2 linked regions of the Oryzias latipes genome follow. The protein of the gene in region 2 interacts with the protein of the main gene of each other region in a biochemical or structural test. Links are inferred from orthologs where the notes say so. Each region holds a gene or a part of one and is shown on either strand. Other genes may lie near its edges.

The links.
Region 1: the proteins of rcc1 (region 2) and ranbp3 form a complex in vitro, tested with the Homo sapiens proteins (2 studies listed by BioGRID). The link is inferred for Oryzias latipes from reciprocal best matches to the Homo sapiens genes RCC1 and RANBP3.

Annotation. Positions count from the first base shown.
Region 1 is NC_019875.2:30,546,320-30,550,143, reverse strand, and holds part of ranbp3 (ran-binding protein 3), read right to left. Parts: intron 2,321-3,824; coding exon 2,255-2,320; intron 2,105-2,254; coding exon 2,012-2,104; intron 1,293-2,011; coding exon 1,183-1,292; intron 1-1,182. UniProt on the Homo sapiens protein: Acts as a cofactor for XPO1/CRM1-mediated nuclear export, perhaps as export complex scaffolding protein. Bound to XPO1/CRM1, stabilizes the XPO1/CRM1-cargo interaction. In the absence of Ran-bound GTP prevents binding of XPO1/CRM1 to the nuclear pore complex.
Region 2 is NC_019874.2:66,508-70,331, forward strand, and holds part of rcc1 (regulator of chromosome condensation), read right to left. Parts: intron 3,350-3,824; coding exon 3,253-3,349; intron 1,578-3,252; coding exon 1,455-1,577; intron 1,360-1,454; coding exon 1,219-1,359; intron 670-1,218; coding exon 550-669; intron 1-549. UniProt on the Homo sapiens protein: Guanine-nucleotide releasing factor that promotes the exchange of Ran-bound GDP by GTP, and thereby plays an important role in RAN-mediated functions in nuclear import and mitosis.

The sequences.
Region 1 (3,824 bases), on a different chromosome or scaffold from region 2:
GACTGTCTTCTTCTGATGGCCCCATCAGTCCAACAGGGCCTGACTTGGCTCAAGGACACTGGAGGAAATCAGCATGTTTTCATATAAATGAGCCCAATATAAAGCTAATAAAGATCGGAGCAGAAAACAGATTCTGTTCGACTCCACATTTAGGAACATTAGATGACAGAAAAGGGGTTTTAGCTCGTTAACACGAGTCCAGTGTTCCAGTATTTCCAGGTTTGTTATTGTGAGGAAAGAAGTCAGAACTGAACAGCATTTGCAAAAAACTGCAGTGAAAGTGGAGGAGTCCCACCAGCTGAGGAGTGAACCCCCTTAAGGAAGACGGCTCTGCAGGTTTTAGCTCTAAAGCCTTCCATGGATGACTCTATATTACTTTTTAAATCACGCTCTTCAGGCTGAATTCATGCTCAGCTGCCACCCTGGAGGCTGGAATTCAGGTCCAGGTGGACCAACCAGGAGGTGCAAGAAGGAGGAAACGAGGGCAAAGGCTAGAGAGAGGAGGATGCAGAGAGGGCGCCCCCTAAAGGGAGAAGCAGGAAGGGGAAAAAAACAAATTAAACCGTCTCCCCGTGGAGCGGTTTTATTTTCACTGAAACTTTACGTTTGTTTTTTTACAGGGCGCTGTGTTCTGCATCCTGATTGGCTTTAGACCTTGTCAATGGTCGTGTCTCCAGTGCAGAATGCGTCCACTTTGTTACATTTACAGACATTTTCCATCGGGATCAGATCTTTGTTTTCATTCTCTAATCCTGGACCTTTTTTTACTCTGTAGTTTGAGAGTTTAAATGAGAGAAAAGTGTGTAGATTTACAGCCTTAAAACATCTCTTCTTCACAGATTTCTCCTACTGCTGGTTCTTTTAGAACGTAACTCCCCCGATAATCTAATACTGTCATTCCAAATCTGTAAAAGTTACTTTTTGTTTCATGATTAAAGACATTTTGTAAAAACATAAACACGTCCTTCGTTCATGGTTATGGTGTCATCTGTTTCCGATGCATCGTAGCTGCTTTTCTCTTTTACGATTTTTCTGGGTGTGGTCAGAGCGAGCTTTGGACAACAGCGCCCCCCATTGAGCACCTGATTTGTGGGGGGGGTTAGTCAGCATTTATGCACATTTTAACAGAGACTGTCCCAGAGGAAGAGACCCAGACTAAACTGAACAGCAGTCATGTCTCACCAGTGACTTGGCCGATGGGGGTGAATGATCTTTGTTATTCAAGAAGAGCGACGGAGTCACAGACGCTCCATCTGATGTCTTTTTCACGCCATTGGTTCCACAACTGGAATCTAAAACCGTAGAAGGAATGTTAAAATGACCACCGTCGTTTTCACAGAGTCTGACCATCAATGAATGAAGTTTCTGCAGAGACTGAAATCCTTTAGCATGACTTTCTGCAACTTTGAGAACATCTTAACCATCTTTCACTACTTTTTAGAAAAGTTTCTGGTTTTTCCACTAAGAGACATTTTACTTATGACCTTTACAGATGTAGTAGATAGCCAAATACTTAGAAAATATTTGATTTAACACGGCACCAATCTATTCTTTACCGACACTTGAATAAAAACTTAATGAAACGTGACGATTTGGGGAAATATTTGAATGATTAAGTTAACGACAGGACATTTTTTAATAGAGCCTACATGAAATGTTCAGTAACCTGAAAGCCATTCATTAATAATTAGAAGATGTTTTTTTCTTGAGTCTTCACTCTTAAGCTGACTTCTAAAGCACTGTCATAACACGCGAGTGTCACAGGTCACAGGTTGTGAGGATAAACTCATTTTTAAATTCCTTGTATATTTTATTTGAACAAAAGGCCTGACTATCAGCGGTTATCATTAATTTATGAATAAGATTTTCTTTATCTACTACGGACAAGCTCTATATGCTGCACATTCTCAAACTCCCCTCAGAAATACAGTGCAGAGCTTCACCTGAACACTGAGTGTAGGCTAGAAGGGATTTTACTGTTTAATGCAGTCAAAGTGTAAAATGTACTCACTTGACTCTATATGTGATTTGGAGGGTGGAGCTTGGAGAACGGCGGGGCGGAGGACACTGCGTTGCTGTTCCTTGGGTTTCTGACTTGGGACGCCTATAACAGAGATTGGGATGTTTGGGATGTCTAAGTTCAATAAATACATAACCTAGCCCCTCCCCCTTTTTGCAGGATCTGTGTGACGTTTGTAAGTTGGAAGTCAAAGTACTTTCTATGCTAGTAAACACATGTAGAGCATGAGGTTACCTGAACTGGGGGCTTGTCCGTGTATTAGAGTCGGTGGCTTTAAGCGGAATCCCACAGGTTTCTCTTCTGGTGAGACAGCATGAGAGAAGAAAACAAATCAGGAGAAAAACTAGTGGAGAATAGCACAGTAACATATAATAGACATGTTCTTCCCCAACCACAGGTCCAGTTACCACAGCAACCTCAAGAGAGGCCGATGAGTTGTGTAGCAATCCAGTTCTTGTGCAATGGCATGGCAGCCTCTCTGGCGTCGGATCTATTTCTACTTTTGTCTTGCCAACTCTCTGGCTTTATTAGCTTGCATGACCTGCTCTAATCTGTGGCGAAGCAGAGAGCGCCACAGCAAAGGAAAAACAGTCAGGCCTGGTACAGGTCGGTGGTCAATAACGCTCCATCAGGTTAACGTGGAGTGTACATTCAGCTGGCAGGACACGGGCAGATAACGACCCCAAAGTGGTTTGTACTCAACACTTTTGTGGGAGCAACAAACATAATGTACTTTGCAAAACACAGAAATGTGGTAAATGCTGCGTTTCCCTTTTATGTGGTCACATTTGATCTGCCGCCGTCCAATAAATACCATCCTGCTGTTTATTCAGCTTTAAAAATTTGGCCTACATCCAACTCCCAAATGACCCGATTTTACTCCGGTTCCTCATCCTACCGGGCAGTTTGACGGTGCAAACACACAAATCCAACAACGTTTAGAAAGAAGCTCCCCAGAGCTGTAAAAAAAACGATTTACAGGAGGAATTGGTGCTGATCAGTGTGTCTGATCTGTTGATGTAAATCATTCAATCACGTGATCTTGTTGGTGTGTTTTTTCTCTGTACTTTTGTTTTTAAAGCAGTGAAATGTGACATGAATAATGTTGGATTTTACCAAAAGCACAGACTCTTCTGCAGGCAGACGTCTGTTCTGTTCATGCATGGAAAACCTCCTAAACTACAGTCTTGTTCTACAAATTACTCATCCTTAGGTTAAATATCAAGCCTGTTGGCTTTTAAATATTCTCTGTTCATATCAACTGGGGATGTAGGGAAAATCAATTTGGCGATATATTGCGATTTTTGTATCGATTTAAAATGCTGTCCAGACGACATTTATTTAATTATTGATGACCGTCCTTAAGCGTCTGGGATGGGTACCGAACCGAACCTCTGTGCCACGTTGTTGCCATATAAAAACGCAGGTTGTGGTGATTTTTAGAGGGCTCCAGATGAGAACAAGTCTCACATGTATCGCGATACGCATCGCCAGACTCGTCGATACCCACCCCTAATATCAACAAATGAATGAGTTGTCAAAAAGAATTACATTACATTTTCTCGCCTAACAGATTTTTTTTCTGTGTAATTTTATTTATTTATTTTTTCTGCGCCACGATTGGCTGTAGACCATGTCAATCAATCTCGGTGAGGTGTTTTCTGTTCAGAATCCGTGCAGTTTGCTGCATAAAAATAAATCTTCAATCATGATCACTTCTGTGTTTTTATTCTTTAAAACTGTTCGTATTCATCTGTGAAGGTTTGAACTTTGAGTTTAAACAAGAGAGAAATGTGTGAGAATG
Region 2 (3,824 bases):
GTGTTGAAAGCAGAACTGTAATCCACAAAGAGCATCCGGACGTAGCTCTGCTGCTGCAGAGCTACCTACACTGGCATATTTCGTAGCATTTCACGATAGCAAGCTGAAAGGGTCATGCGCCGAGTTGACGAAAATTTCCCATCCCGACAGCATGAAGTTAAACTACTTCCACTTTCTTCCAAATTCGAATCTCGTGTAAAACTATTTAATTTTGTATGTTTTTTGCATCCAAATATTAAAATTTCATGACTTTACTAAAACTTTGCAGAATATTTTGTTTTTCACAAACTTTTCAAAGACCTAGCATTTTCAATTTCCAAAACTTTTCCAGGGTTTTCCAGGAATACTCAGAAATGCATGAATGGATGTACCGCTTGGGTTATATTTTGTTAAGAGTTAACATTATAATACCCCTAAAAGCTAAAAAATAAAGTTTATTTTGCATGATATAGGCTCTTTAAAAATATCTACTTCATCAAAAGCTTTTCAGAAGATAAAATGCTAAATTCTGTAGAATATCAAATACATTTGGATTCATGTGTTGTTTACCTTCAGAGTCAAGACACAGCGTATGATGTTGTCCTCCAGAAAAGTCCACCCAGGTAGTGGTGGAGTTCTTGAAGCACGTCAGTTTTACAGGAACAAAACACATCTTGGTGCTTTTGGTGCCTGGGCAAATAATTCAGAAATAATCAAATGAAACCTTGGAGTTCAACCAAATGTTCCCTGTTGCTTTTATAAGTTTGACAAGAATTAACAAGCATATTCCAGTTCACGCCATCACTACCGTATTTTCACGAACGCCGGGTGCACCAGGTGTTAAGGCCCGGGCACGTTCAGGCCCTCAGTGCCTCCAGAGTGGGTTAATAAAAGAACCAGTCTCTGTTCTTTTTGAGGAAACCTTTTTACTGTTCTCCCTAACTGTGTAACACAAACTGAATGCGCGCTCACAGACTCACTTGCGCGCCGCGCCTGACCCCCCTCCTTATTACTCCCGCTGGGCGCAGGAGCTGAGAACACACATTGGCTTGTGCTCAGCGCCTGACCCCCCTCCTTGTTATTCACGTGGGTGCGCAGAATGCTGGAGCTAGGGCTGGGCGATATGTTGTGGGGACCTGGGGCTTAGCCCCGCCCATGGCCACTAAGACTCATGGGAAGTGTTGATTCCCACACAGTGAGTTAAGGAGTTAAGGATAAACTCTTATGAGTCAAACTTACCCAGTTGGTGATAGTTTGAGAGGCCAAATCCATAAACGTGTCCTTCTTGTGACACAGCAAAGGTAAAGTAAGCTCCACAGAAAGCATCTATAAAGTGAACTTTCCCCTTCAGCTTCACCATCTGCGGCACCAGGAGTCGCTCTAAAAACCACAGCAAGGTAGAGTAAAAAAATGACATGGGTAAGATTTAACCACAATATTGTTTAGTGTTTTGCTGTTGTAACAACTTCACCTACCAAGACCTTTTCTACCACCTCTGTTTGAAAAATGCTCAGGCACTCTTCCCAGCTGCCCCTGCTCTGCACAGCCTGATGTGTAAAGATTCCCATCCCGTGTCACTAACACCAAGTGGTCGTTTCCTGTCAGAGCATCCGTGAAGACAACAAGGAGACAAACATCTGACAAAGACAGTTTGAACTAGTTTATAACAAGATGATGTACACTTAATGTTTTCATAGCAGTCACTTCTGCTTATATTTATTTGAATGTTCCATTTGTTTTGGTGTAAAGGGACTTGTGCTCAAATGCACTGACACAAAGTGAGCACTTTGGACAGCTCTACTTGCACTTTACAAAAAAAAATTCAAGGCGCAAGTGGTGTTGTACAGCCCACAGGCACTACCAGCCCTTGCCATCAGCCTCTATGTATCAACGCCGCAGGGGTATAGGCACCACCGCCGCTCTCACCACCCATCTTTGAAACGAACTTGCTTGCTTAGCAGTCACGACGCACATCTAACTCTCACTTGTCTTTCTGATAGGCTGTCTGAGCTGCATGTGGATAAAAGTGCTAGCAATACTATCAGCATCATCAACTGACTCAGAAAAACGCCTTACTTCAGATGCTAATACTGGTAAGAGCCACATGTGGTAAGTTGATAGAAAATCCACTTTCTTCAAAACGGCGGCTTTTCTGTTAGTTTTATCTTTATAGCAATCATTTTGTTTTGGTACCACACCCACATTACTTATATGTTTGTATCCAATGTTATATTAATTTGTTCAGTTCTAGTCATGGATACATGCATTAAATGTTCACAGTTTTCCATTTAAACATGTGCGAGTAATAAGAGAATGCCACTTTAGCTAGCTCACCACTCGCACACCGTTAAAAATGTACAACTTCTAATTGCAACATCTTTTCCATAACTGCTTTTAATTAAAGGTGGCGGCCTCTTCCCGAGGTCAAATGTTGACAAAACTCCACTACGCCAAATCTCCAATTTTGGCACAAAATGGCCAACAAACCATAGGTGTGTCGCCATTCCATAAGTATTTCATAACTATTTCATAACTTCTTTCATTGGATATCCCAGACAAAGGTATATTGGTTTCGTAAGTAGATTTCCATTTAGAAAGAAAATTTATTTAGCTGATTCAGCACAATTTTTTGCGACATTTTTTGTTTACCACACCCACTATTTTAACATTGTCATCTAGAATGTTGCATCGTTTTATTCAGCTTGGGCCAGGGAAATGCATATTGAATTTTTACGACACCCCAATAAGAAATGTGCGAGCTAGCTAAGATCGCAACAGTTGCAACTTGCCACGTACAACCATCCAAAATCTACAACCTCCAATTCTGACATTTTTCCACAGTGGCTTGCCATTGATGGCCGAGAAGTTACGAGACTATAGATAAAAATCCCTAGGACGCGTTTTCGTTTGTATCTGAAACTAAGTTTTTTTTTTTTTGAATGTGTGCAGATTTTGGTGAGTTTTTTTGTGTATGTGGTGGGGTCAAATTTTTCGCTCAAAGGCGCAGATAGAAAGCGGAATCATAAGTATTGCAGAAACAATCTACAAGTTTTTGCGGTTAGGACCGACTGTGTCTTTGTATTTTGTGTTTTACTACACACTGGTCATGTCTTTTGGGGCTTATTCCTTTCCTTTGAGTTTTTTAAACCATATAGTTTTTGTCAGTCGTTGCAAAAACAATATGGTCCTTGGAGTCCTTGACCGCTGTGGGCCATAATCAGCCTAGAATCTTTAAATAAAACTTCAAGCAAATTCCCGGGAGGTTTTACTCACCTGAGGCAATTTTTACAGCAGGTTCTGGGATGGGGATCTTCACTGGGACTGGGCATGTTTTCATGGGCTCCAGAAGACCAATTACACCATTATTATCCTATTAAAAAAACAGCACAGCTGAAAATTCACAAAAATTAATAACTGCAGAAAGAAGCCAATACCATACAACAGGGGTGTCAAACTCATTTTCACTGAGGGCCACATCAGCATAGTGGTTGTCCTCAAAGGGCCAGACATAACTTATACATGTAACTAAATGTAATGAAAAATAAACGCAACTCCTCCTTAATGTTAAATTACTCATTTCTTTATTATAACTTTTTAAAGTGACAATTACAGTTGCATAGAAAACATGTTTGCTTTTTAATCTAGCATAAATCCTTTTAAATCTGATCCTCTCAGGTTAGGTTTTATGGACAGTGTTTAAGTTCTAATGTACGGAGCCCGTGTCCTGACATTAAAAAATTAAAATATGTCTCGTTCCCACAGATCAATATCTTGCTCGCACAAAATAATATTCCGTTCCGACAAGATAATATTTCGTTCCCTCGAAATGATTAATTCGTGCGAAC